4 linked regions of the Stegostoma tigrinum genome follow. The protein of the gene in region 1 purifies or fractionates together with the protein of each later gene. This does not show direct contact. Links are inferred from orthologs where the notes say so. Each region holds a gene or a part of one and is shown in the gene's direction. Other genes may lie near its edges.

Region 1 (7,317 bases):
TGATAGTAACGCCATTGAATGGCAAAGGGCGGTGGTTGGATTGTTTCTTATTGGAGATGGTCAGTGCCTGACATTTATGTGGTGGTGAATGTTATTTGCCACTTATCAGCTCAAGCCTGGATATTGTCCAGATCTCGCTGCATTTGAAATGGGCTGCTTCAGTGTCTGAACATTTTGCAATCATCAGTGGACATCCCCACTTCTGACCTTATAATGGAGAGAAGGTCACTGATGAAGCAGCTGGAGATGGTCCTGCAGAGATGTCCTGGAGCTGTGATGAGTGATGTCCACCAACCATGTCCATCTTCCTATGTGCCAGATATGACTCCAACCAGTGGAGAGCTTCACCTATGATATCCATTGATTCCAGTTTCACTAGGGCTCCTTGATGCCACACTCAGTTGAATGTAGTCTTGATGTCAAGGGCTGCCACTGTCACCTCACCCCTGGAATTCAGCTCTTTTGTCCATGTTTGAACAAATCTGTAATGACATCAGGTGCTGGGCGTCACTGAGCAGGTTATTGCTGAGCAGGTGCTGCTTGATAGCTCCGTTACTGACACCCTCCATCGCTTTACTGATGGTCGAGAGGAGACTGACGGGCGGTAATTTGCTGGGTTGGATTTGTCCTGCATTTAATGCACGGGACATACTTAGGCAATTTTCCACATTATCGGATAGATGCCAGTGTTGTAACTGTTTTGGAACAGCTTGGCTATGGGAGCGGCATGTTATGGACCATATGTTCAATATTATTGCTGGAATGTTGTTGGGGCTCGTAGCCTTTGCAGTATCCAGTGTTTCCAACCCTTTCTTGACATGTGGAGTGAATGGAGTGTGCAGTGGTCACACTTACCAGTACCATCACGGACTGATGTGTCTGTAGCTGGCAGATTGGTAAGGTGAGGGCATGTTTTTCCCTGTCATGACTGTCTTTTTCCTTCTAGGTGGTAAAGGTTGATGGTTTGGAAACTGTTGTTGGATGAGCTTTGGTACTAACTGCAGCACATGTTGTAGATAGTACATGGTACTGTCACTGTGTACTGGTGGCGGAGGGAGTGAATTGGTGAATTTGGTGGATGTGATGCCAACCAAGTGAGCTGCTTCGTCCTGGATATGTGAAGCTTCTTGAGTGCTGTTGGAACTGCATTCACCCAGGCAAATGGGAGGCATTCCTTCACACTCCTGACTTGTGCCTTGTAGATGTTGGACAGGATTTCGGGAGTCAGGTGAGTTACTCATCCAGAATTACCAGCTCAGTATTTTTATAACTGGGCCCGTTCAGTTTGTGGTCCGTGTCAATCCCAGGATTGAGTTCTGAGGAAGGGGCACCGGACCCGAAACGTTAACTGTTTTTTTGCCTTCACAGATGCTGCCAGGCCTGCTGAGCTTTTCCAGCAATCTTTGTTTTTGTTCTTAATTCCAAGAGGTCAATTTTACATTGTTAAAATAAGTAACCGTGGTATGAGAAAAAGAATTTTCATGCAGTGAGTATGAAGGTCTGGAATACATTGCCTGAGTGTGGTCAAGGAAGTTTAAATTGAGGCAGGCTGACTTTTGGAAAAGGAAAAATGTGCAGGGATACAGAGAGTATGTAGGATAATAACACTGTGTGCAGTGCTGACTTGGAGAGCTGGCGCAGCCAGGAAAGGCCAAACAGCCTCCTTTTACAATGTAAGTCATAGAGTCATACAGCACAGAAATAGACTCCTTGGTCCAACTCATCCTTGCTGATAAAGTTTCCCCTAAACTAGCCTCACTTGCCTGCATTTGACCCATATCTCTCTAAACGTTTCCTATTAACATACCAGCCCAAATGTCTCTCAAATGTTATAACTGTACCTGCATCTAATGAACCACCCTGTCTAAATTTAGAGACATCAGAACCTGGCTGAATGAAACTTAGGAAAGTACATCTTCTTTCAAGCCACAATTTCAAATGTTTTAGAAAGGTGTTTTCAGCCTAATTTGTAGAAATTTTCTTTTTTATTGTTTGACAATGTCCAGTTTATGCATTGCAGAAATAAACTTTAAAAATAATTTTAAGAGCTAATTATAAGTGCAAACAGGTAACTACTTTGAGCTGTAAAAATAGAGTTTTGTCTGGTTAGATTACTCTTGTGTTGTATGCATATGAGTTCTGAAAAGCCTAATTATTTCTGTAACAAAGTTGATCAGTCAGCCCTCAAGCCTTGTTCACCAGTCATTAGGTTACGAATTGTTTGTACTCCAATTCCAAATTGTGTGATTGTAGCCCCTTCCAAAAGCTTGTGATTTCAAATAACTTGTTAGACTGTAACCTGGTGTCATGTGACTTCTAACTTTGTCCACCCCAGTTCAACACCGGCACGTCCAAATCCTGTAATGATCTTAAAAATGTATCAATCAGGCTCAGGTTTGTAACACATTAAAAACAGAGAAATCAGAGTTAATGTTTTGTGTCGAGTGACCCTTCTGAGAGGAGTTCTGAGGAAGGGTCACTCTACCCAAAACATTAACTCTTGATTTCTCTCCCCAGATGCTGCCAGAACTGCTGAGCTTTTCCAGCAATCACTATTTTTGTTTCAGATTTACTGCATCTGCAGTTCTTCTGGTTTTTAAAAAGACGTCAAATTGGCTCAGCGTCCATAACTTTTTCTACTACTCTTTATGAAATGTTTTTCTGATTTTACTTATAAACTGCCTGCCTCCAATTTTAAGGTCACATCTCTTTGGGGCGACATGGTGGCTCAGTGGTTAGCACTGCAGCCTCACAGCATCAGGGACCTGGGTTCGATTCCAGCCTCAGGCGACTGTCTGTGTGGAGTTTGCACATTCTCCCCGTGTCTACGTCGGTTTCCTCCGGGTGCTCCGGTTTCCTCCCACAGTCCAAAGATGTGCAGGTGAGGTGGATTGGCCATGCTAAATTGCTTGTAGTGTTCAGGGGTGTGTGGGTTGTAGGGGAATGGGTCTGGGTGGGATGCTTTAAGGGGCAGTGTAGATTTGTTGGGTCGAAGGGCCTGTTACCACACCGTAGGGAATCTAATCTAATCTAATCTCCTTCTCTTGGGATCCCCTGACAGAGCAGAGAGTTTATCTGCATCACCCAATCATCAGAATTCTATGGTAGAAGGAGATTCATCAATGTTTGTTACATTGAATGTCAAGGGGCAATGATGAGATTTTCTCCTTAGAAATGGTCAGAAATCATACAACACCAGGTTGAGTTCTGAGGAAGGGTCACTGGAACTCAAACATTAACTCTAATTTTTATCTTCACAGATGCTGCCAGACATGCTGAGCTTTTCCAGCAACTTTGTTTTTGACACCAGGTTGTAATCCAACAGATTTATTTGAAGACACAAGCATTTAGAGTGTCAGCCCTTCTTCAGGTGTTGAACATGGTAGGTAATTGCCTGGCATTTGGATCACCTGAATGTTACTTGCCACTTGTCAGTCCAAATCTGGATACTGTCCAGATCTTGCTGCATTTGTGCAACACGGTTCAGCATTTAAGGAGGGTTAGGGTCAAGGAAATGCCAGCTTTCCTGCTCGGTTCATCCAGCTCTACACTTTGTTATTTCAGTATTTGAGGAGTTGTGAACATTGTGCAAATATTGGCCATCATCCCTACTTCTAACCTTATGATGGAGTCGAGGTCAGGGAACAAGCAGCTGAACATTATAGTGCCTAGAACACTGGGAATTCCTGTAGAGATGGCCTGACAGTTGGAGGTGACTGTCCTACTTGGTTTCAGAATGCCCTGTGTGCAACGATTCCTTTTTATTTTCCCTTAAAGCCGAAGACATTGATCAACAAATGAATTAATGGAGAATATTTTCCTTCGAGTGGAATGCATTGAGCAGCCTGCTTTTTTGCAAGTATGTATAATTTTGCATGCAATTTTTACATATACGTGTGCATGCTACTCTCCATACGCCCACACTACCCTTTCTCTTATAGCAGCTGGCGCTCTTTCCGCAGCGCGGCCAGACACAGCGGCCTTGCCCACACTTTTGCCGGCGCTCCGCTTGTGCCACCTCACCGGCGCGGAGCGCTCGCCCGAAGGCGCGGTGCCCGGCACTATGGGCTTTGTTGCCTTTTCTCACCGCCCTATGATTCCACCCGCGGGGAGGGGCGCGTATCCTTCCGCCGTCATCCGCGCAGGCGCACAACCCCACCCGACAGGCTGAAGCCCTTTGGAGTGGGGAAGACGGAAGGGAAGTAGTGCGGCCGCCGCTTCACTACCCGGCGGCGCGCAACGTGAGAGCGCGTGTGTGTGTGTGTGTGTGTGTGTGTGAGGGAGGGGGGTAAAGGAGGCGCTGGGATAGCGGAGCCCGGAACTATACCCTGTCTGTCCGCCATTTTGGCAGCTGCTCGGCGGCGGGTGCGAGCGGGCGAACAAGGTTCGTGTGTGAGCGGCTCGGCTGCTTCCTGAGGACGGCGGTCGCTCCCTCCGTGTCTGCCTCTCGACTTCGCCTCGCCTTCTCTGCCAGTCCTCCCCTCCCCGAACCACACTCCTCTGTCTGCGGGCTTTTAAAGCCTGGGAAGTGAAAAAAAAAAGAAGAATCGGCAAGTGAGATTAGCTCGCTGTTATTTCTTTTCCTGCCGAAGTTCTGCATCCTTCGATCGCCTACCGCCGCCACACCCCTCTTTCCCCCCCCCCCCCCCTGCCGCTGCCGCAACCGCAACCTAAACGGAAAGAAAGGAGCCCCTCTTAAATCAAAGCCGCCGGCGATTTCTTTTTTATTTTTTTTAAAAACGAGGTAATCCTCATCCTCCTCCTTCCCGTCCATCGAGCGCCTCAGCCACCCTCCCTTCCCCACCCCCTCCACCGGAGAACATGGAGGACCGCGAGGACCTCGTCTACCAAGCCAAGCTGGCCGAGCAGGCTGAGCGCTACGACGGTGAGAGATGTTCGTTGTTGTGAGGTGGTTGGGTGGGTTAGTTGTTTTGGGGTTTTGTGTTTGTGGTGCCGGGTTTTGAGCGGTGGGATTTGTCGTGTCTCTCTCTCTCTCTCTCTCCCCCCCCCCCCGGCTCTCCTCACCCTGTCTCTCCCGGCCGCCGGCTTCACAAAATGGCGCCCAGCGGCCGCTCGGTGCCCGCGCTCTCCCCTCTCTTCTCCCCCCCCCCCCCCCCGTTCCTTTTACCAACCCGATCCCGGATCTTTTAAACAAAACCCACCTTAACCCCCCCCCCCCCCACACTCCTCCTTCCCCTACTCCCCAGCCTGGGCAGGGCATTGACTCCAATCCGGCGGGAGGCACGGCAAGATCCCGGCCGTCTTTTATTCACTCTGACCCCTCCCTTCTCCATCATGGAGAGAGGTGCATCCGCTGTGAAAGTCGCCTTCTTCCCACCCTCCCTCTTTCAGATTCTTCTCTTCGCCCCCCCCCCGTTTTCCAGTATAATTTCCCTCGACGTTTACCCCCAGCCTCGGGTTCTGAAGGTTGAATCTTTCGTCGTTTTCCCCCTCCCTCCCCCGGAGCAAAGAAGAAGTACCGATTTGCAGAATGACATTGAATTGCTTCTTCAGTGCTTGGGCAAGAGGACTTGGGTTAATAGATGGCGGTGTATGTCTCCTCTTCACCGCCTTCCCACTGATTTAATTCAGAAAATGAATGCGGTGGAATTTGCGTCTGAAGGTTTAGCGCCCGGAGACTGGGCCAGACCACCATTTTAATTCATGTCTCTGTTTCACGTAAAAAAGAATTCCTGTTCGGAAATGTGAATTGGAATGTTTTAATCCTCATAGTTAATTCTTATACACAATGGGATTAAAGACGATTCTTGCCTCATTCTGCCTAGGCGGAAGTTGCAGGTCACCCTTAGCGCACACATGCTGAGAAATGAGGTGGGGTGGAGGCCAGGAATTCCTTCTCAAACCCAGCTTCTCATTGCAGAGGGTTTTTTTTGTTATTGCACATTTTGACTCAAACTTGTTTTCCCAGATTCTTATTGCAAGGTTTTGTAGACTATTTATTTTAGTAATTTCAACCTATTGACAAGTCTGGGTTCAGCAGTTGTAAACCTAGATGTGGGTTCATAAGCTGTTATGAAATTCCTTTTTGAAATTAAGCTAAATTTAAGCTATGATGAGTTAAGGATATTATTTTTGATGCTATTCATTGTCTCCCTCACACAACAACAGGAATTATTTTGCTTACCTGAAATAGTTACCTGTTAAAGTTCTGTGAATAATTGAGGAAAAAGTATGAATCTTGTTGACGTTTTAAAATCAGTTCCCTTAAGCTAACTGTGAAATTACTAATTAATATAAATTTGACTGTACCAACTGATTTGTCTGTAATATGGGCAACTTCTTTTGGAGGGAGGGGCTATTTGTTTGCAAGTACAATGTAGAAATATTTTAGATTGCTGTAATTTACTGCATTTTTGGTGTGACATGTTTTAAACAGTTGCAGTAACTGTGTGGTATATTGTAATTTCAAAATTATGGATGGGATCTTTTCTGACAAGTGCCATGGGACACTTTGTAAATTAATTTTGAGTGAAAATCTCTAGACAATAGTTGGATTTGACATCTTTAAACAGACTCGGTGGAGCTCGTTTTCAAATATTCATACTGATGGGATGTGGGGTTTCGTTTTTTCTCAATTTTTAGTCATGTCTGGTTTCACTAAAATAATTGCATGTATTTCTTAATTGTGCAGTGTTGGAAGAAATGCACTACATTCTTTGCCATTACTGACTTAGCCATACTGCATGGGTGGCACAGGCAGAGTCCACATACATCCATCAAACAGACACTGTTTCCCATAACTTGTGGTACAATGGCCAAGCAATGGAGTTGATTTAAGATTCTTCGAAGACCTTTTTCCATCAAAGGTGTTTCTAATTAGTAAAGTTCTTCCCATCCTGGTGTATTATGCTGACCAGACTAATAAGATTGTAATGCTTTAGACATGATTTCATTGAGTATTCAGGGCTGAAAGAAACCTATAAATTTGCTTAAACTTAGATCTTTTAACAGAATGAGCGGTAGTTTTTTTCCTAGCAGAAGTAATCTAACCTGAGGGCATTTTTGTTCTTTGTGCTGCCAAACTAAATCCAGGTCTTCCTTACACTGTCGGACAGTCTGCAGTTTCTAAAACTACAAATCTGTTTCCAGTAAATAGTTGTCACAGATGTAGGCTGAATAACCTGTGCGAGATGATGGGGAATAGGGAACTAGGACAATTGCATGGTAAACAAATTTCTGCTACAAATAAAACTGATATAAACAAGCCTTCTATGTCTTTTTTAATTTATAATAGCAATAAAGCTGTGCCAAGGACTTTGACAGTCTTTTGAAAATTTAAATTTTGGAAGATTCGGT
Region 2 (7,592 bases), about 44 Mb from region 1:
TAGAGGCTTGAAGAAAACATTAAAACCAGCAAGTGGAACAAAGTGTTAGCAACACATATATAAATGTATAAACACAACAAAAATCCTTCTGAGAAGTATGAACAAACACATAACACAGTGTTGTCAGCACTGCCTACCTTTAAAGAGCAGAAAATGCAGGCAGCATGTGCATACAACCATACTAGTCTGAAAGTGCCCGATCTTATCTGATCTCGGAAGCTAAACAGACTCAGGCCTGGTTAGTACTTGGGTGGGAGACTGCCTGGGAATACCACGTGCCATAGGCTTTTGCAGCCACCAGAGGCTGCCTGCAGCCCTGCACTCTGACGCCCCCATTTATTAAGCTACAAAAGTCCTTTTAACTGCTCTCTCCTTCGTTGTCTTTCCTTTCACCATTTTTCTTTTGCTTTCAATTTTCCTCCTGCTGCACACAAGTAACAGGATAAGGCAGAGGGACAAAAAGCTGAAGACGAAAAAGTAAAAGAGGATAAAACTGACATGGCGTGAGACAACGAAACACAGTCAAAGCAAGACAAGGTACATAGAAAATCAGAATCACAGAATTCGAGCAGAAATGTCCCTGCACCGAATGTATTATCTATAACCAATCCCCTTTCCTTTCCCATACCCCAAACACACCATTACTATCCAAAAGTATCCAAAGCTCTCTTGAATGCTTCAATTGAACTTGCCTCCACATTTCCAGGTCATGCATTCAATATCCTGATTCATGCTGTGTGAAAAAGTATTCTCACATCGCGTTTGCTTGGTTTGCATATCACTTTAAAAGATCAAACAAATGGAGCTGTGGTCCAAGATGGTGACAGAGTATGACGCTTCAGCCAAAGCTTGTCTGCTCTGCCTGCTCTTTTCTTGCTCATTGTCTTTTTCCTCTTCTTCCCTCCTGCCCTCAATTGACTCCTGGCCTCAGCACAAACATGATGAGAGGTCCTCTCAGCCTGACATAGTGGCCTCCCGTGGCAGTGGTCCAGTGTGGCATGATGGTCTCTTGAGCTGGTCTGGCCTCAGCGTGGACTCCCAGTCTTGAGGTGATTCCAGAGCAATCTCCCAGGTGAAACCCCGTGCAGTCTGGAGCCAAGGCCTGGTGGCTAGGTGCCAGCATGGTCTGGGCTGGAAGACCCTTGTTCTGAACTTTTATTTCTGCAATGCTGGGCTTTTCATTTCTCTGTTTTCTAAGATCTTGTAACTAAAGAAGCTGCACTTAGGTACCTTTGTACCTAAGATGGTGCGTTAAGTGAGGACTTATAAACTTTTCACTGTCATCATTTCAGTACATGTGCAAAAGCTAATTCTAATGTAGTGACTATAGCTGAGACCTAGCTTAAACATGGACAGCAACTGGAATTAAAAGCTGCAATGTTTTAGGCAGGGATTAGGGAGGAAAGGGACTTTGGAAGGTGGCAAGTAATGGCATTATCCAATTATAGGTTTAGAGTTCTACATGGACAATGTACCAGATGGTCAAAAGATGGAATTGATTTGGTTCCTTCTATTTGTTTCTGATGTTCCCCCTTGATGTCCAACACTGAGAATATATCTCCCAGACTAAGGCAACTATACAAACGTAGGTAGAGCTTGTCTAGGTCTAGGTCTTCTCTTATCTGTTTCTTCACCTTAGCACCAGCATTTTCTATGTTTGACCTCTGATTCCAAGGTGATGAGACAACACACAACCTCCAGGCAACATCATCCAAATGCAATTACCAGGGCCAGCAGTGGAATCTTAGAGGGGAACTAAATCTAATAAAGAAATAAAGCTTGTGTCCAGAGTTTCTGTCATTAAGAGAAATAGAATCAGCAATAGTAGTTTCCAAATAAAAAGTGATGCAGAGCTTATAATCTAAAATCATTAAACTCAAGGGCAAACTTGTGTCTCCATTGCTTCCAGACATGATGAGAAAGCAGGCACCCAATTTGTGTTTAGTCAACCCATCAACTTCTGCAATGCATGGAGTGGCTAGGATCTGGAATGCAAAACCTGAGAGTTTGTTGGAGTCAGATTCAGTCAATGGCTTTGGGAGGGAATTGGATTATTATTGAAAAAGGAAGACAGTACAGGGCTATGGAGGAAAGGCTCTGAGCAAATTGCACATCCTGAGGTCTGACAAAGACACAATGGGCCGAATGGTCTCTTTCTATGCTGCAACAATCCTGCAATTCTTTGCAGAACATTTCCATGCAGTCCATAAGCACGATCTCAAGGTTCCACTTTGTTCCTTTCTGACCTCACTGTCCTCAGTTTGCTGCCATTTTCTAATGAAGTTCAATGTAAATTCAAAGAACAAAACCTCATCCTTTGATCCAACTCATTACAGCCTTCCTGACTTGGCGGGAGAGAGACTATATATCCTGTCGGTCTCAGTTGAATCTCTCTCTCAATCTTCAGTAGTCACCTGTGTCCAGACTATTGCAGCATATCTTTTTAGATGTTGTCTCTCCAAGTGATATCCAGTATCCTGTGAAGGTGGAAGACATCCAATCTAACAATTCCCTTCCACAATCCTGTATCCCTTTTGTCATTGAAATCAGGTATCAAATTGGGACTAGATGCCTTTGATTGGTTCCTTGATTCCAACAATTGATTTGTTTTTCAAAATCACCAGCTGTTTAGTTCCACAATCCTAACAGTTGATTGGCCCCTCAATCCCAGAAGCTGATCTCTCAATTCTAAGAGTTGATTGGTTCCTTAACACCTAAAGCTGATTCATCCCTTTACCCTAGCTGATTGCTAGGTTTTTGAACCAGTTGATTTGTTCCACCCATTTCAGCAGCTGACTGGTTCAAAAACCAGCAGTTGATTGGTTCCACCCATTTCAGCAGCTGATTGGTCCCTCGATCCCACTGGGGTTGCTGTGATCTTTGAACTTCACTGTCACTGGTCCCTCCACACCAGCAACTGATTGGTCTCTTGATCCCACCAGCTGAATGCTCCACCAATTCCAGTAACTAATTGTTCTCTGAATTCCAGAAGCTGATTGGTTTCTTCATCGCAGCAGCTGATTGGTCCCTTGATCTCAGTAGCTGATTGGTCTCTCAATCCTAGCGTTGATTGGTGTTTCCATCCCGTGAAGTTAATTGATCTTTCGATCCCAGCAGGTGATTGATCCCTTCATCCCAGTAACTGATTGTGTCTTCAGCTCAAGCAGCTGATTGGTTCCATCCATTTCCAGAGTTGATTGGTCCCTCAATCCCAGCAGCTGATTAAATTTGGTTTTAGACTTAGATGTTTTATTGTCAGATGAAAAGTGTACAATGTTGCCACATCTTAGGTACAATGGTAACACAGCGTGGAGCTGGAGGAACACAGCAGGCCAGGCAGCATTAAAGGAGCAGGAAAGCTGACATTTTAGGTTGGGACCCTTCTGTTGTGTTCCTCCAGCTCCACACTGTGTTATCTCTGATTCCAGCATCGGCAGTTCTTACTATCTCTCAGGTACAATGGTACCCAGGTAGAAAGTGGTAAAGGAGAGAAACAATGTTAAAAGTTAAACATTACAGTTTATCATGGTGTAAACAGAAAAATAGAGAAATAAAGTAATAGCTAATATTAAAGTCCTTAATATTAATTGGAAAAATAAAGAAATTAAAGTTAAAGTTGCAACATTTTCTTGTGTGCTTAGGCATGCTGTGGCCTCGAACTCCTTTGCTTAGTTCAGTCTCTGGGAGATGTCGGCTGTCTGGTTCTCACCACTGCTGTCACAGATGCGGGGAGACCTCAGTCACCTCTCGCTCTTTCCACATTTCCGTCGCTCCACGCTCCAGACCTGACAAAGCCACAATCCCTTCAGCACTGAAGCAGCCACCTCCAATTTCCTCCTGCTGCTTCCGGAACATGCTTAGGCAACATCCATCACCAAAAAAAGGAGAAAACGAAAGCAAAAAGGAATTTAAAAAGAAAAGCAGATGTATGTGGACAAACTCAGGAGCTTGAACGCAGCACTGCTACACCTCCGCTCAATTAGTCCCTCAATCTCAGAATCTCATTTAGTGCTCATTGCCAGTAGCTACCAGTCCCTTGATCTAAGAAGATGATTGGCCCCTGAATTGCAGCAGCTGATTTGGACTCTTGATTCCAGAAGCGGATGAGTATCTCAATCCTAGCAGCTGTTTTCTCCATCAACCCCAGCAACTAATTGTTCCCTCGATCACAGATGCTGTTTGGTCTCACTTTCCCATTAATGATTGTTCCCTAGATCCCAGCAGGTGATTGGTCCCTTCATCCCAGTAGATGATTGGTCTTGCGAGCCCAGAAACTGATCGGTCTCTCAATCCAAGCAGTTAATTGGTCCCTCACTCTTAAGAGTGGATTCATCCAAGGATCCCAATCGTTCTTTGGCTGCTCAATTTGAATATATGATTGCTCCCTCCATCCCAGCAGCTGATTGATTCCACCATCCCAGCAGCTGATTGGTTCCTCCATCCCAGCAGCTGATTGGTTCCTCCATCCCTGCAGCTGATTGGTTCTCCATCCCTGCAGCTGATTGGTTCCTCCATCCCTGCAGCTGATTGGTTCCTCCATTCCTGCAGCTGATAGGTTGTGGTTGGGGGTGGGAGGAACATGGTGTTGCTCTGATTTTTTCCGGTTCCGGGTCACGATCTTCACGCCGTTCCCTGCTGCCATGCTGAGGCTCTCGTTCCTGTCCCGGCTCGTGTCGGTCTCCTCCCGCCTGGGCCCTCAGGCCACCTTGACACCGCCGATCGCCTCCGTCCTGCGGACCGGGCCCCCTGGGATCCGCGGCCTCGCTCGCTCCATGTGGTTGCTTTCCAGCTCGGCCTCGGGCCGCAGGCCGCTCCGTTCCAGCCACCTTCTCAACGGCGTGTCCTGCGGCTGCGGGGCCCTGCACACGGAGGGTAAGGGAGGGGGTGGGTGCACAACCGGTCCCCGCCCCCCCCGCCCACCACCACCAAGCCCCCCCCCCCCCCCCCCCAGGTCCCCCGCCCACCACCACCAACCCCCCCCCTCCCCCCAGGTCCCCTGCCCACCACCACCAAACCCCCCCCCCCCAGGTTCCCCATCGTCCCGGTTCCCCGCCCCCCAGCTCCCCATCCCTGTTCTCAGCCCCTCGCCCACCTCTCCCTGGTTCCATGGTGGGGCTCTCTGCTCTGGTGTGCTGTGCACTGCTGTCCACAACTTGGCCAGACAATCCCACCCAGGCTGTGCTGCAAAGTGGGATTAGAATGGTTAGATGATTATTCTTAAACTCAATGGGTTTAAAGGGCCCTTTTCTATACTATTGACTTCTATAACTTAGGCTCTAAGTTGAAGGTCTCCTCTTCTTCAGGGCCAAGTCCTTGGCTGTGAAACCAGCGAGAGCTTTGGGTCGCTGTCTGTGTGAAACATGATGGGGTGTTCTTGTATCTGATCTCAACTGGCTGGATTTGCATTGTCCCTGTAGGTGACAAAGCATTCGCTCAATTTCTCACTGATGAAATCAAGGAGGAGAAGAAAATCCAGAAGAGTTCAACACTGCCGAAGGTGTCAGGAGGCTGGGAAATTGGGCTGAATGGGACTGAGGCGAAACTTGTAAGGAAAGTTGATGGTGAAAAGTAAGTGAGGTCACTCGGGTATCATTTGGGCAAGCAGCCAATTTGTATGTTTTTAGTTAAAATCATGTCAGTGGATTGTGGATAGGAAAAGAATTTGTTTTTTTTTAAACAAGTTCCATGGATTTGTTTTTAAAATCTCACCTGAACTTGATGGTATTTCTTTAACAATTCATCCTAAAGAAAGCACTTCCTGTTGTGCAGTAGATGATGGACAGGAGTACGTAACAAAGGCCACATGGCTGATAGTTTCTGTTAAAGTTTCTTTTTCATTCCCTCATGGGTGTCTCTGGCAGGGCCAGCATTTATCCTCTATCCCAGCGGACAGTTAAGATCAACCATGTTATCCTCAGTCACGTGTAGGCCAGACCAGGTAAGAACGACAGCTTCTTTTCTTTAGGAAGGAAATCTGTTTGCCACGGTCAGATTAATAGCTTAAAGCTAATATCTCCAGGCCTTCGCTTCCCCAAGCAAATAACATTGAGTCCAGTGTAACATTTTTGGATCTGGAGATGGTGCCGTTATCTGTTGGATTTCTCCAGCAGCTTGTATTTAAGATCTGAATCAGCAGTAATTGTTTTTATCAATATACAAACTCCTGGAGCAGGGCATTTAAATCCACAACGTCTCAGTCAAGTGAAAACTAAGCCAACAATCCAATACCTCAGCACCAGTTACTTCTGCCCCAAAAGAATTGAATGTAGAATGAGTATGTACTACACTCTGAAAAATGCATTTTAATTTTAGAAAATATGTTGAAATACATTTGGAAGTCCAGGATTTGAGTGAAGATTTGTGGCTGCAGTACTGGTTGTAGATGTTGGTGTGTTTGCCGAGCTGGGAGGTTTGGTAGCAGATATTTTGTCCTGTTTACTGGGTGACATCCTCAGTGTTGTGGAGCCTCCTGTGAAGCATGTGCCTGTGAACCTGCACAAGACAACAGCGCTTCTATAATGGGAGTCTGTTATAACTTGGACTCTAGAGTCTAATAAGTGAGATTGCATAATAGATGCATCATGTTAACGAGAAAATTTTTAGCAAGCAAAATGAGGATTAAATAGAGATTTAATTAATTTTGAACTCATAAGACCCCCCCCCCCAAACCATAATCAGTTTTGTATATTGAGCTGAGTTATCATAGAATTTCACTGTATATTTAGTCTAGAAAGCTTACAGTATCAAATTAAGATTATAATGTTCACCATTGCATGTAGATTCTGATAGTTCCTTAGCCTGTGCAGGACCAGTATTCAGCTTTAGTACATCATTGTCAAGTTCTTAAATGTCATGACAAATATATTACTAGTCCCAGTTTTAAATGAAGTTTGGCTGTGAGCAGTTTGAGATCAGAACGTGCTCCCTGTCATTCTCCGATTCTTTGCAGTTCAGAATTGCAGCTGGTGACACCTTTTTGACTACTTCTTTATCCATAGTGACCATTTACCTCTTTCTGTTTGTAGAGTTACAGTCTCCTTTAATATCAATAACAGCATTCCGCCAACAATGGAGGAGGAACCACAGGAAGGACAGAAGGGTTCAGAGAATGAGGTGAGTTGGATTGAACTTGCACAGTACTCTTGACTGTCACCTTAGTAAAGTTGAGAGGTAATTAAACAGGCATTAATTAAACAAACTCCACTGTGTATTGTTCATCCTGTGCCCTGGGTTGAGTGGAATTTTGTATAGATAGGAGTTGGAGGTCTGTCTATGTGAACAGAATGTACATGAGTATTTAAAAGCCCTTTAAAGCACCACTTTATTTCCTAGAATCCCAAAGCAGGCAATATTAGAACAGTGAACGCCATTGGTCTCGATAACTGACTGGGTGAAAAGTTTGAACCAGAATGGGTTGAACTTGAACTTTTGTAAAAACCTACCTGGGCATACGAGTTCTGTATTTGGACGTGTGGTCTCACTGGGTGGTACGGAGAGGTGGATCTGGGTACAGTCAAGGCATGTGGAAGGTAACTTGCTATAGGCCTTACCCTCTTGCCCTTGTCCAACCTAACGTTAGCGCTACAGCAGTA
Region 3 (7,698 bases), on another chromosome or scaffold:
CTATCCTCACTGATTACACACTGTGGGTCAGGAGTTCAGGATACTGTTGCAGAGGGTGGAGCAGAGACCAAGGTCTCAGGGTTGAGATTAATTTGGTTAGAATTATAGTGTTGAAGGAGAATTGTAGACAATAAGTAGAAGCCTGACATAGGTATCCTTGTTATCTAAATATTCCAAGGATGAATGCAGGGCCATGGAGATGCTGTGTACCATCTGTTGAGACTGTAGGTGAATCGCAATGGGTCAAGGCAGGCTGAGAGGCTGGAGCTGACATGAGCCATGACTAACCTCTTGAAGTGCTTTGTAATTATGGAGGTCAGAGCCACCACGTGGTAGTCATTTAGGCATGTTAAATGAGTCTTTTTTGGTGCTGGAATGATAGTGATCTTCTTGATACAAGTGGGGACTTCAGATTGTAGTAAGGAGAGATGAAAGATGTCAGTGAACACTCTAGGCAGCTGGACTGCACAGGATCTGAGTGCGTGGACTACTCCATCTGGGCCAGTCATTTTCTGTGGGTTCACTCTCCAAAAGGCCAATGTGAAATCTGCAGCATAACTGATGAAACAGGTGCAGCTGAGGCTGTTGGATTAGGTGACACCGTTTTGCTGAGGCTCTGTTTCAACTGAGCCTAAAATGTATTGAGCACATCAGGGAGAAATGTATTTTGTCCATTATTCTGTTATGTCACGTAGGCCTTACCAGAAACTACAGGTACCCATGTGGTTAGTTTTGCTCTCCAACATAGTCTAGTATTAGTTCTTGGCATCTCCAGTGGCCTTACAGAGGTCAAATCTGGATTTCCTGTGAAGATCAGGGCCGTCTGACTTGAACATTACATACTTGGTCTTTATTAGGCAATGGAGTTCCTGGTTCACCCATGGTTTCTGGTTGGGGAATATATGGATTAACTTCTTTGGCATACAGTCCTCTACACCCTTGCTAATGAAGTCCATGACAGTAGCAGCATACTCTCCTGGGGGCATGGCTGCTGAGTTCTTGAATATGGGCCAGGCCACCAATTCCAAGCAGTCCCACAGAAGCTCTTCCGTTGCATCGGACCAACACTGTGCTATTTTCTGTACTGGGTCCTTATGTTTCAACTTCTGCTTAAAAGCCAGGAGGTAGGACACAGTGTTGCGATCTGATTTTCCAAAGTGCAGACAGGGTATAGAGCAGTAAGCACTTTTGATGGCTGTGTCGCAATGGTCACGGATATTTGGCCCCCTGGTGGGGCAGAAAACAGGTTGATGGTATTTTGGTAGCACCTGCAATGTTGGCCTCATTAAAGTCACTGACTACGACTGAATTGGGCCTCGGGGTATTCCGTGGGTAACAAGGTGGGTAAATGGAGTTGAGGTGATTAGCAGAAAACATTGAGGAGTTGAACGGCTTACTACTGTTACTTTTTCACAGCACCAAATTTTAACAATAAAAAAATGCAATTCACCAAGGCTGGACAGCACTGAGCAGTCTAGCAATGCAGAACAGTGATAGAGGGCTAGTTGAAAAGGTACAGCCAGGAGGTGGCAGCTGAGTTAGTTCTCCACATGTGTATTTGGAGAAAAGATGGTGGGAGCAGGGCCAGGAGTTTTTGAAGATAGAAGGGCAGTAATAGAACTAAGGGCAGAGGAGATGCAATAACACCTGATGTGGTCCAGGTCTGCATTCACTGGATGTTAGAAGAATGACACTGGACTTGATTGAAACATAGGGGGCTTGACAGCATAGATGCTGTGAAGTTGTTGCTCCTTGTGGGAGAGCCTAGGACCAGAGGGCATAATCCCATGGTAAGGGAGTATCCATTTAAAACAAAGCCAAGGAGAAATTTCTTCTTTCAGATTTTTTTTTTAAAAAGCTAATTCACTGGTTTGCTATGATGAGGAGGTGCTGGTGTTGGACTGGATGGACAAAGTCAGAAGTCACATGACACCAGGTTATAGTCCAACATGTTTATTTGAAATTAAGTCTCTTCACCTGACAAAGGAACAATTCTTTGAAAACTTGGAGATTTCAAGTAAACCCGTTGGACTATAACCTAATATTCTGACTTCTGACTTTATTTGTACCATAGACAGCCGTAGCTTGTTACGTATGTTCAAGGCAAGAAATAGATCATAATTAGTAATTCATAATCAATACTTTTGGGGACAAGGCAAGCAAGTAGAACTGAAGACTATCAAATCAGCTACTTTTCCCACCAAATAATAAAGCATGATCGATGGATTGAAAGGCTAACCTTTGCGCCTACATCTTATGGTTTTAGTGGTCTAGGTTTGGATGAGAAAACCTGTTGTGTTATGCATGAAGGACCATAAAGCAGATGAACAATTTTTTTTGGTATACGTCTAATTTCCTTCTGAAAATTACAATTGAATCTTTTTATTCTGCCTTCATGTTTAACTATAAGTCATATGACATGGGACCAGAACTAGGCCATTCAGCTCATCAAGTCTGCTCTGCCATTCATGGTTGAGATGTAATCTGCTATAACCTGGAATGAACTGAGACGAGGAGGAATTTCTTCAGCCAAAGGGTGGCTAATCTGTGGAAGTTATTGCTGCAGCAGGTCAAGTTATACAGAGTATTTAAGACAAAGATAGATTGGTTCTTGATTGATGTGGAGATCAAAGGTTATGGGAGAAGACAGGAGAATGGTGTTGAGGAACATCTCAGTCATGACTGAATGGCAGATAAGAACTAGTGGGCTGAATGGCCGAATTCTGCTCCTCCATTTTATAGCTTATAATTAAACATGAAAGCAGAACAAATGCAGATTCAATTGTAACTTTCAGAAGAAAATTGGATGTATACCAAAAAAACTGTACAAGAACAGAATGAATTACACAAACATAGTAGACTGCATGATCCATGTCTGCACTGTATTTACCTTTCACCCTTAGGAAACAGGTATTAGTCCACATTGGGAGATGAACTAAGTTATGGAATACCAATGGTTTTACTCAGGTATCAGCATGAATACTGAGCTGCGGTTAAAGAAATTGTGGATATGTAAGCATTATAGTGAATGGGAAGCCAAGGGCGAGACAACTGGAATGGAGAAAATGTAGTTGTGAGCAACATAGGGTGCATGTTTCTTTTCCGCCCCAGGAGCAGATACGTAAATAATTGGAATTGAAAAAGCAAATAGAAGGAGTTGAGGCTGAGCAATGAGGGACAGGAGAGGCCATCAACAATGGCAAAATCAAAATGGGAGTTGTAAGTGAGAGTGGGATTGCATTCTGGACAGGACATTCCTGAGCTAGCAAAGTCGTGTGATGATCAGCTCGTTCCGGTATCACATTAATATAAACTGTTTTAAGTTCATACATTTTCAAAATGTATATCTTTATTTTCGTAACTCCATTACCACTGTAGATTCGCCCAATGGCTCAAATGAAATCAAGTCGACAAACGTTTCACTGCAAATGACAATCTGTTATCGTTGCATGGCGAATCTCAGGAGTACTGAACGTGATTCACAAATCAGTATAGAAAGATTTTCAGAAAAAAGGGTCCCAACCCGAAACGTCAGCTTTCCTGCTCCTCTGATGCTGCCTGGCCTGCTGTGTTCCTCCAACTCCACGCTTTTGTTATATCAGACTCCAGCAGCGGCAGTTCCTACAATCACGAGTCTTTGTTTTTTTTTAATATTCGTATTTTGTAGACAGAAAGGAGGGCAAAACAGTTGTTCCTCATAACTGCAGTGCTTTTAATTTAAGCACTCTTCAAAATCCACATGCCAGTATATTTCTCATCGGAGTCCATGGGGCGTTTGCCCCCCAAACAACATGTAATTTCAGCAGTTCCAGAAAATTCACCAAACTTTCATCTCTACACAGTTAACAATTTGATGCAATGTGAGTACACAGGAGCTGTTTTTTCGAAGGTACAACTTATCAACAAATACAGATGTTACAACAAGCCTTGGAGACCAACCTCGGCCTTGCTTATCCGTGCCTTTAACTGACAGCTGTCTCCTATAAACAAGCCTGCCCCTTCGATTCGGTCGTTCGCTTACCTCTTAAACCTTTCAGATACGTCTCTAAATCGTTCTCGATGTTCGACTCGCAGGAGGCCTTCATGTTGTCCGATCATACAGCGAAAGGTTAGAAGTACCTCTCGATTAAAAAAAACAACGTTGACAGCAAAACAGAAAGGTTGATAATTGGAAACGCTCCGCACGGCTTTGGTTAAACTCCAGCGCCGCTGAAAGGACGCTGCCCCTGAACCAATCAGCACCGAATTCAAATTAAACTTTGGGCTTCCTTTCACCATAGAGACATCAGGTTCAGCGAAGGAGGAGTCTCCGCAGCGAATGCTGGGGTTTGTATTTCTACTTGAGAGTCAATGCTGTCGGCAGGAACGGAGCATTGGACGGTCGACAGGATAGGTGCCGAAGGCCAAAGGAAATACAATTCCCAGAAACGCTTGCGGGAGAATCCGGGTACCTGCCTTTATTTCTTCCCGCCCTTCCTTTCATTCCAGAGATCTACACTTTCGATCCCACCCTGTGAAAGCCCCCGACAGCCGCGGTTGGCGCGGTGACGGCATGCTTGCGGTTGCGATTGGTCAAGAACTCCGTCAATCATGAGGGGGTGTTGGCTTCGCCGAGATGGAGCCTCAGGCTTTTGGACAGTGGCTATGGCATGTGGTGCTCTGCGCATGCTTCAAACAATCTCTTCCCCCCCCCACCCAGCGCCTACCCGTCTATTCTGCTCGAGCGGCCGCTATGTGGAATAACGTTATTGCTGAGCAACGGGCGGGTTGCTGATGTTTGTCTGAGCTTCGGCAGGGCAGTTGCCCTGCTAGGGTGAGTATGCTATACGGAAATGCTGAGGTGATAAAGGCTACCGGTTTATGCGCTCCCGCCTTGGAGGAGGGGAGGATCGATTTTAGTATTTTGAAGTTGAAATGGAATAACGGTTCAAGGGATTGTGTATAAAATGCTGCTGGGTGGGGGAGGGGCGTCTCGTAGAAGTGACCATCCCGCAATCGCCACCTGACAGGTCGCGGTCCGTGGACTTTTTCATGGGCTACTTCTTTCAAGCTATTATTTTGGATTGTCGACATTCCCACCGTTTTTCATTTGAAACGAGTGGCAGCTGAAAACGAGAAGGCGTTTGGAGGTTCAAATGGCTATCCATTTTCTTTTATTCATTTGGCTCCTCTTTCACCCTTTACTAATATCCCCTTTCCTCCTCCTCCCCTCCCAACTGTGCTCCTCGTTCCTTACTGTAAACTATTCATACTATCTTCCGAATTTAGTCTAAACGGCATGCCGAGATTTAATGTTCTTTTGCATTTCACTCCTCCCCTTAATTTAATGGATTTTAATCAAGATTTCTTTTAAGTGAAACGCTTTCTAATTAACATGTCAGTGGATCCGAATGAGTAGTACCCAACCGGTGAACGATCATGTCGATGCATTTTTTCATGTTTCTTTTTGTTACCTCGAACAAAGGAAGCTTTGGGGTACACCACGGAATTTCATCCGAAGGTCTGCATCTTTTTTTTTGTCGATCGTTCGAGATATTCAATACCCGTAGAAATTCCCTTGTTTTCGGTGAAGCCGACGCGTCTTAATGATTTAACCAATTCCGCTCTGATTGTTACACAAAATCCAGTAATGCAAAAGTAGCATAGCTGGATAGGGACTATTAGCAAATTTCTGGCACACTGCCAGTGTAGTGAGGGCATTGCAAATCTTGTGGAACAGACTAGCCATCACTTCTCGTTTTGAAACGTAATGATTAGATTGTATTACATTATTGGCCTTCCTGCATTAGAAGCCCAGTAAATTCATTTATAAAATTCTTCAGAAACGTTTCACAGGAAATGTTTCCTGTTCCTGTACATTCCCGCTAAGGGAATAGGGTCACATGAAACTGGCTGGAGTGTTTCCTTTTCGGCTTTCATTTCAGCAATGTGTTCCTTTCCTCTGTGCTTTATATCGACAGACTTTTCAAGTAGGTTGAGTCCCATTCGTTTCTGTAAGACGTGTATTTTAGTATTTTTGACAGTGAAACAATGCGTTATTTTGTGGCCCTTTCAAAGGACGGAGCAAGAAGGAAACCTTTATTTTACTAATCATAAAATGGAAGTTGCCGTGCTGGAACTTTTCAGTGTTGTTTTTTTTGTGATAAATCTTAACTTGGAACATTATTAGATTTCTTTCTGCAGCATAAGTAAGACAGACCATGGAAACTGAAAACTATATGGTCTCATCTGTATATGTATCAAAAAGCTGTACAGGACCACAAATAGCCTGAACTGTAATAGACTAATCAGTTGAGGACAATCAACTGAGTCTTAAGTAAAAATTTGTCCAGTTTGAATTTTGTGAATCTGGAAGTCTAGCAGAACTAGTAAATTCTAAATTAAAATACTTCATTCTGTTTTTATCTGTAACTTAAAGATGTTCCCAAATTAATCGTACCATTGATTGAAATGTGATTTTATCAGTTAGATACTTGCCTAGCCTCCTTTTGTAACCTATGGAATCCGCCTCCACCACTCTCTCCAAGTAGCACATTCCAAATTCTAATAACTGAATAAAGAAGTTTTTCCTTGCTTCAGTCCTAGCTCTCTTGCTGGCAATCTTGAAATTTTGACCCCTATTAACTGAACTTTTGCATTGTAGACTAAAGTTTATGATAATTATCAGAGATAATGGGAACTGCAGATGCTGGGGAATCCGAGATAACCGTGTGGAGCTGGATGAACACAGCCGGCCAAGCAGCTGCTTGGCCGGCTGTGTTCATTATTTGTGATAATTATCCTTCTTTCTAGCTCAATCTTTTTTTGCTTTTTGTACTTTTAATACTTTTAACAGATTCTTAGTTAAACTGAAAACTGTTTCTTCTATTCCCCTTTTTATAAGCATGATTTTCCAATATGTTTCAATTTTTAATTTGAAAATGAAAGAAAACAGGAAAGTGCTACACAGAATGGCTAGAATCAGTGGAAAGAATGAGAAACAAGACAATTTACTGTAACCTTTGCACCAGCAGTCCTTGGTTGACTGTCTTTCAGGAGTGACATTTAAACATTAGTGCATCTGCTTGTTCAGGTGGATATAAAAGATCCCATGACATCTTTTCAGAGAAGAGGAGTTATCCCTGATGCTTTCCAGCCAGTGTTTATCTGTTCGTAACCAAAACAACTTCTTCAGCCATTATCATGTTTGTGGGAGCTTGTATGTGAATTGGTTGATGGGTTTTCAACCTTTACAATATGACTGTACTTCAGAAATACTTGATTGACTCCGATAGTGGTATTATTGATTAAACTGTTAATCCAGAGGTCCAGATAATGTTCTGGGGACCTGGGTTCGAATCCAGCCATGGTGGAATTTGAATTCAATAAAAAGAATTATCTGGAATTAAGAGTCTAATGATGACCATGCATCCATTGTTGATTGTTGGAAAAACCCATTTGGTTCACTAACGTCCTACAGGGAAGGAAAATGCCATCCTTACCTAGTCTGGCCTGCATATGACTTCAGACCCATGGCAATGTGGTTCACTGTTAAACTGCCCTCTGGGAATTAGGGGTGCTGCCTAACCAGCAGCGCCCTTGTCCCATGAATGAATAAAGGGGAAAAAAATTGCAAGATGTTTTTTGACTGGGTTCGAGTTGTTTAGGTTTAAGAGGGACGGAAGTTTGGATAAACTGAAACTTACAAAGAGCACAGGA
Region 4 (7,392 bases), on another chromosome or scaffold:
AGGCACCACCATCTCAGGGCACAATCCATGGCCACCATCCACACAGCACTTGTTCACAGACATTGGCATCTGAAATGCCCATCTCTAAGTGCACATCATTGCATTGGTAACTACCATTGTAATGCTACAGCAAGGACACTGCGCTTTGAGATATGCACCCTGCTCATTGGACTGGACCAGGCTGCATCTCCAGCCTTTTTGCTGAATATAAGACCATAAGACACAGGAGCTGAAATTAGGTTATTCAGCCAATCAATTCTGCTCCACCATTCAATCAAGGCACACAGGTTCTTGATTTTTCAAGGGTAACAGGAGAATGGGGTTGAGAAACCTATCTATCTCTGTCTTAAATATACTCAATGAACTGGCCTCCACAGCCTTCTGTGGCAGTGAATTCACAGATTCATTACTCTCTGGCTGATGTAGTTTCTCCTTACTTCCATTCTAAAAGGTCTTCCCTTTATTCTAAGGCTGTGCCCTCAGGTCCTAGCCTCTCCTACCAATGGAAATGTTTTCCCAACATCCACTGTGTCCAGGCCAGTATTCTGTAAGTTTCGATTATATCCTGTCTCATCCGTCTTAACTCCATGGAGTATAGACCCATATTCCTCAAATGTTCCTTATATGTTAAGCTTTTCATTCCTGGGACCATTCTTGTGAACCTCCTCTGAACCCGCTCCAGGGCCAGTACATCCTTGCTGAGATATGGGGCCAAAAACTGTGCACAATACTCCAAATGTGGCCTGACCAGATCCCTATAGGGCTTCATCTCTGCTTTTATATTCAGGTCCTCTCAAAATAAATGTCAAAGTTGCATTTGCCTTCCTAATTACTGACTCAACCTGCAAGTCTACCTTGGAAGGATCCTGGACTGGAACTCTCAAGTCTGTTTGCACTTCAGACTTCTAAATTTTTGTTCCCATTTAGAAAGTAGTCCATGCTTTTATTCTTTTTACCAAAGTGCATGACCTCACACTTTCCCATGTTGTACTCCATCTGCCACTTCTTTGCACACTCGCCTAACCTGTCCAAGTCCTTCTGCAGCCTCAGTTCCTTCATCGAGATCATTAATGTACAAAGTGAAAAGTTGTGGCGCCAACACTGACCCTTCCAGAACACCACTTGTCACTGGCTGCCACCTGAGAAGGACCCTTTTATCCTCACTCTACGCTTTCTGCCAGACAGCCAATCTTCCATCCATCCTTGCACCTTGTCTTTAACACCGCGGACCCTTATCTTACACAGCATCCTCCTCTGTGGCACCTCGTCAAGGCCTTCTTGAAGTCCAGGTAGATAACATCCATTGGCTCTCCTTGGTCTAACCTGCTCATTACTTTCTTAAGGAGTTCTAACAGATTTGTCAGGCATGACCTCCCCTTGCTGAAGCCATGCTGACTTTTCCCTATTTTATCGTGCACTTCCAAGTATTCAGAAATCTCATCTTTCACAATAGACTCTAAAATCTTACCTACCACCGAGGTTAGGCTAACCAGCCTGTAATTTTCAATCTTTTGCCTTACTCCCTTTTTAAACAGGGGTGTCAAGTTAGCAATTTTCCAGTTCTCTGTTCTCTGACTTCAGTGATTCTTAAAAGATCACCACTAATGTCTCCAGTATCCCTTCAGCTATCTCCTTAAGAATTCTGGGGTGTAGTCCATCTGACCCTGGTAATGTGTCCACCTTCAGGCCATTCAATTTTTCTAGCACCTTTTCCTTGGTGATGGCCAACATACTCGGTTCTGCCTCTGACTCTCTCGAATTTTTTGAGATATTACTCGTGTGTTCCTCTGTGAAGTTTGGAGCAAAGTAATGTCATAGTGCTCAGTTACTCTGAGCCTATTTGGATGCTTATAGCATCTTTACCTTGCATGGCTTTGTTATGTCACTCTGTATGTTGCATCCACCACTAGAGATATGAGATTTATTGTTTCTATTTTGCCTTGCTGTTTAGCACTGACACAAATGGAGGAAGCTTAACATTGGTGTCAGGTGGCCTCAGTCAAACTTTTGCTCAAAGGGTCCTGGCACAGTAAGCCAAGAGAGCCTCCGATAGCTGTTCTTCTTATGACAGTGCATTGTACATTCTTCCAGATGGCTGAAACAGTTTTAACCTTTGATTTGTTTATTATGATTTTGATTTTACTGTCACGTGTACTGAAATACAGTGAAAAGCTTTGTTTTTGAGCAGTACAGGCAGATCATGGCAAGCTAAGGACGTATAGATTAAAACCTTGGACCAAAGTGGCATATTCTGGCATTGCAGCCTCCATTCTTAGTCCTGGAAGAATAGGAAGTCACACCTCTGCACCACCTAATCCAGCAGGTCTATCCTAACCTCCAGGTCCCTGCTGCAAGGCCGGGCATCGATATCCTCTGGTCTGCCATGTCCAGGCCAAATGTCAGGAGCTGGGCAGCTTTTTTGGGTGCACTATGAGCTTTGACAGATTGTGTGGCCGTAGGGGTTGCTGCTGAGGTCCGGGGTACCCACTGTGTGGTGATTTGTTTTGGTAATCGCGTGTGGTAAGACGGGGCTGAAATCGAACATGACTTTCCACTAGATTGTGTTTGTCACAAAAGACAATCATCACAAGTTCACTTTGGTTCATGCCCTGTACATTTGTAAATCATCTGCCACATTTTGATGTTACCTGTCATCCTACCTTGGTTCTCCTAGTGCACCCATCTATAGCCAGCATTTGTTTTTACTTCTGAATTACATGCTGTTTAATTAGTGACATCTCTGAAGGATCTAATATTTATCCACCCTATCGCAAATTCTGATATCAGTTTTTTTTAAAAAATCCGTTCATATGATGTGGGTATTGTTGACTATCCCTCATTGTCCTTGAATAGCTTATAAGACTATGTCAGAGGGCGGTTAAGAGTTAAATATATTACTGTGGTTTTAGAGTCCAATCGAGATTTGACCAGGTAAGCATAGCAAATTCCCTTCTCTACATGAATTAGATTGTTTTAAAAACCTATTTGTTTTGGTTAATGAAGTCATACAGCACGGAAACAAATCCTTTGGTTTAACCAGTCTACGCCAACGATAGCCCCAAACTAAACTAGTCCCACCTGCCTATGCTTGGCCTATATCCCCCCAAACATTTCTTATTATGTGCTTATCCCAATGTTTAAAAGGCATTGTAATTCCTCCCGTGTCCACTACATTCTCTGGAAGTTCATTCTACACATGAATCACTGTTTGTGTAAAAAAAGTTGCCCTTCATGTATTTTTTAAAATCTTTCTCCTTTCACCTTAAAATCATGCTCCCTTGTCTTGAAATCTCCCACCCTGGGGAAAATACACCTGCCATTCACCTTATCTATACTCTTCATGATTTTATAAACTTCTAATTTCACTCCTTAACCTCCTATGCTCTAGTAAGGCTAGCTTTTTAATTCCAGGCTTCTTTTGAATTTAAATTCACCATCTGTCAAGGTGAGGCTTAAAACTGTTTCCCCAGCGCATTATCCCATGGTTCTGGATTACTAGTTCATTGAAAATCTCATGACACCATCACTTCCCCTGCAAAGAATTTGTTGTTATAGGAGGTAAAATGTTGAGTATAAAATACTGCAGGAAAGCATTTATAAAACCAAACGTCTTGACTGCACAGGAAAATTCAGAATCAAAACAAGTTCAAAGGTTATGGTCATGGTTCTGACGATGAAAAATGAATGCTATCTAAATTCATCATGAACCCACCTGATTCAGGTTTCAATGGAAGGCAGTGTGTTTTGGTCAGTGTATAATGTATCACCAGTTACATCTGCAAAGTCCAGAGCGCAGTAATGGGTTTAATTCCACGTTTACGCAGAAGAACGGACGTTGTGTTTAGTCATGTGGACAGAGCTGATGGTTGCTCTAATTTCAATAGAACAGTCCAAAGCTAGCACTTCTTGTGCTGGCCCTTGAAAGTTTTTACCGTTCGGCTATCCCTGCCCCTTTTAAGACCTTTCTAACAATGGGCTTCTTTGGCCACCTTTCCTAAAGCCAGCACCGCCCATTTCTGACAAGTTATGTCGTTGTGCAGCATCTTGGTTTATGTTACAAGCACCTTAAAGGTGCAATGCCTTGTTGCTGGTTCTATCATGAACCAATGCCGACAAAACTCTCAACCTGCCTCTTCGTGCGATGTTTATGCAGCCACTTCATCCCTCCCATACCCAGCAGAAAGATGTTTCAGTTGGGGATCCCCGTCAAGATCTTTCATAAATTTGATCAACTCTTTTAGTCTCTCCTAATCGGTCGGAAATGGGCACAGAATTTGGCATGCGGCTTAAAGCAATGTGGAAATTCCGCCAGCGCGGCACCTTCCCGTGCTCTGACTCCGAATAAAACGCTATAACTAAAAGCCTTGGTCCGACCGTGCAGTGTAAATCCGCAGACATCGCGCCAGGCATTTGCCCGAATGCAAAGGAAACAGCAAGTGCGTTTGCAATTTCTGAAGGAGTGATTGTGGTGGAGCTTCAGTAGCTTTGTACTTTGGGGGCTTGGTACATTTGGAAGGTGCACTGCAATGATGTGGGCGGATGTGAGTTGCAGACGGGGTTGGATCCGGCGTGCAGTGACTCTGCAGCCAGAGGCAGAGCGAGCTGCTGCTGGCAGGGGCCGAGCATGGAGTCGGACCGGCGGCTGGCCAGGAGCAGCTTCGGCCATGGGGCCAAAGGGCAGCGCTTCAGCCTGCAGCTGGTGGGCTCGCTGCCGGTTCACCAGCTCACCACCATGCCCATGCTACCCTGGGTGGTGGCGGAGGTACGGAGACGGAGTGCCCGGGGTGCAGGGAGCCGGAGGGTCCGCTTGCAGGTCTGCCAGGGCTGGCTGCGGTGTGTGGCAGCGAGTGGGGGCAGCCCGGTGTTCCAGCAGCAAGCCCAGCACATCTACAAGCTGCTGCACTACAGCAGCGAACCCAACTACTTCGCCTATCTGACCAGGAGCCAGGCTGGCCCGGAGCCCCAGCACAGTCTCTGCTTCGTATTCCGAGCTTCTGATCACACGCTGGTAAGACCCTTCCTGCCAATATCGGCCTGCTATCCACAGGAACAATACGGAAAGTTCAAGTGCAACAGAATGTATAACTTTTACTGGAAACACTGAGTGATCATTAGTGTAAATATCGTTGATAGTGGGGTAAACTTCCTGTTAGAGACACAGCGGTGTGCAATGTTTGGGCTGGTTTACTGAAGACGATTTCATAACGTGATGGTTTCCATCATCAGTTCCTCTTTAATACAGAGACCATTGTTTGCAATATATGTGCGTGCGTGTGTGTGTCAGAGATACTTCATTAATGGAACCTGAAGGAAACTCTATTTCCAAAGATAAAAGGGGCGAGTACAACATAATTGTATCCCTGCTCTTCCTTTAGTGGCACTTCGGCTGACGGCTAAGATATTTTAAGTCAAGCCATGCGATTACACAACTCTGGAGCAAGTGGGACTTGAACCCAGATCTCCTAGCTCAGAGGTAGGGTCACTACTGTGGTGTAACGAGAGCCCCACAATTGATGTTTCGCAATACACCACCTGCATTCTACACTCAGGTATTTTGAAATAGCATGATACATCTCCAGAATGTATGGGACGTGAATCCAGGCCTTCTGCCTCAAAGGTAGAAGCACTGCCACCACAGCACACCAGCCAAACTAAAGTGCGCTACAAAGTACAGCTGTATCCCCAAACTGCTTTTTTTGTTTTGCTGAAGAGACAGTTTCCACTTTCTATTATTGCTACTTAAAATAGTGCGAAGTGAGTGAAATCTCTCATCATTTAAAAATACTGATTGGGAGGTCTGATGAGATTCACTTCAGAGACCAGCTTTTGCCATGAGCATTTGTCCCCTGTAGCCCCTACCCCCAAAGGACTTTAATGTGCCGGGTACAAGTTACCATGTTTAAGGTTTTCTTTTATGTCAAGTCTTTTCTGAATATGACTTTTTTTAAAATTTAATCTTACCCAGAATTACACACTGTTCTTACACACAACTGAGCGATCTTCCCACCACAGAAGTCACTGTGACCTCTTTCAAACTAATACCACCAGTAAAATACTTCTATAGCCTATTGAATATTTACAAGCAAAGCCCATTAAGGGCATTGCAGACCATCAAAGGTGAGCGGGTTGGGGGTGTGGATGTTGGGGGAACAGTGAGAGCTCCATCCCTGGGTGGTCTCAAACTGCCAACTGTTTGGTAAATACCTGGTACATGTCCCCTACACACCATAGAGACTGACGTTCATGTGGCACAGGTGCAGCTCTAGCATTGTTAGGAAGAGAGTTCCAGGATTTTGATCCAGCAACGGTGAAGAAATGGTGATGTAGTTCCAAGCCAGGATGATGTGTGTGGCATAGAGGGAAACTGGTAGGTGATGATATCGCCATGTACCTGCTGCCTTGGCTTTGTGGGTGGTGGTGGCAGCAGATTTGGAAGGTGTTATTATAGATACCTTTGTGAGTTCTTGCAGTACATCTTGCAGATGGTAAACCTGCTGCCACTGCGTGTCGGTGGCTGAGGAAGTGAGTGAAAAAGAGTGGGGTGGAAATCAAGCGTGCTGCTTTTAGCTTCGGTGTTGCTGAGCTTGAGTGTTGTTGGAGCTGCACTTAACCAGGCAAGTGAGAAATACTCCATCATGCTCCCGACTTGTGCCTTATAGATGATGAACTGGCTTTGGGAAGTCAGGAGAGGATTTACTGATTGCAGAATTCCCAGCCTCTGATGTACTCCTATAAAGTTGTATGCGTATCTGTATAGTTACTGTGGTTGATGCAGTTCCATTTCAGCACAGCAGTATCCCCCAGGATATTCCTGACGAATTCAAACACAAGTGAATGATCTCAGCTGTTTGCGTTGGGAGAGTGTACTTATGGTTTATTATGAGGCAAGAGAGAATTAATCCTGGCAGCAATCTTTTATGTGAGATTTTGTTAGTTAGTTTGCCTTGTGTTTGTTGGTATTACTAGCTAACCTCCTATGATGTTGCTTGAGGCCTGAAGCATATTTGTAATTGCAAGATAAAGAAGTAAAACTTTGCTGATTTTGGTTTGTCTATTCAGAAAGAGACTAGATTCCTTGTGCTGTGTCATCTAATTGTTAAATAATGCTAGGGTTTCACTTCAACTATTGTGTCTGGGAGCCCCAATCATAGTTGATGACTTTTGCATAAAACAGGACTTCCTGAAAGCATTTTAAATTTTGCCTTCCAATTTGTACAGTTTTGTACCAAATTTACAACTTATTTTGATATAACCTTCGAAACCAGAATTTCTAATTATTTTGCTGTGTTGTACATCTCTCTAAGGTCATCTCTCAGGTACCACTTTTTAAACAGAAAAGCCTAAATTCCCCCTGGCATTCTACATACCCAATCCATTAACACTAGGGTTCGG

Evidence for each region.
Region 2: the proteins of ywhae1 (region 1) and c1qbp purify together in Homo sapiens (affinity purification with mass spectrometry; 4 studies listed by BioGRID and IntAct, with this or other methods). This does not show direct contact. The link is inferred for Stegostoma tigrinum from reciprocal best matches to the Homo sapiens genes YWHAE and C1QBP.
Region 3: the proteins of ywhae1 (region 1) and cep170aa purify together in Homo sapiens (affinity purification with mass spectrometry; 3 studies listed by BioGRID and IntAct, with this or other methods). This does not show direct contact. The link is inferred for Stegostoma tigrinum from reciprocal best matches to the Homo sapiens genes YWHAE and CEP170.
Region 4: the proteins of ywhae1 (region 1) and tbc1d1 purify together in Homo sapiens (affinity purification with mass spectrometry; 4 studies listed by BioGRID and IntAct, with this or other methods). This does not show direct contact. The link is inferred for Stegostoma tigrinum from reciprocal best matches to the Homo sapiens genes YWHAE and TBC1D1.

The regions. Positions count from the first base shown.
Region 1 is NC_081380.1:46,892,394-46,899,710, reverse strand, and holds the start of ywhae1 (tyrosine 3-monooxygenase/tryptophan 5-monooxygenase activation protein, epsilon polypeptide 1), read left to right. Parts: upstream 1-4,316; 5' UTR 4,317-4,821; coding exon 4,822-4,885; intron 4,886-7,317. UniProt on the Homo sapiens protein: Adapter protein implicated in the regulation of a large spectrum of both general and specialized signaling pathways. Binds to a large number of partners, usually by recognition of a phosphoserine or phosphothreonine motif.
Region 2 is NC_081380.1:3,374,926-3,382,517, reverse strand, and holds the start of c1qbp (complement component 1 Q subcomponent-binding protein, mitochondrial), read left to right. Parts: upstream 1-4,581; 5' UTR 4,582-4,640; coding exon 4,641-4,872; intron 4,873-5,417; coding exon 5,418-5,568; intron 5,569-7,025; coding exon 7,026-7,113; intron 7,114-7,592.
Region 3 is NC_081362.1:83,728,951-83,736,648, reverse strand, and holds the start of cep170aa (centrosomal protein of 170 kDa), read left to right. Parts: upstream 1-4,696; 5' UTR 4,697-4,813; intron 4,814-5,110; exon of another isoform or gene 5,111-5,129; intron 5,130-7,698. Other genes in the region: sdccag8 (serologically defined colon cancer antigen 8 homolog), read right to left, coding at 4,022-4,085.
Region 4 is NC_081354.1:97,047,485-97,054,876, forward strand, and holds the start of tbc1d1 (TBC1 domain family member 1), read left to right. Parts: upstream 1-4,392; 5' UTR 4,393-4,624; coding exon 4,625-5,008; intron 5,009-7,392. UniProt on the Homo sapiens protein: May act as a GTPase-activating protein for Rab family protein(s). May play a role in the cell cycle and differentiation of various tissues.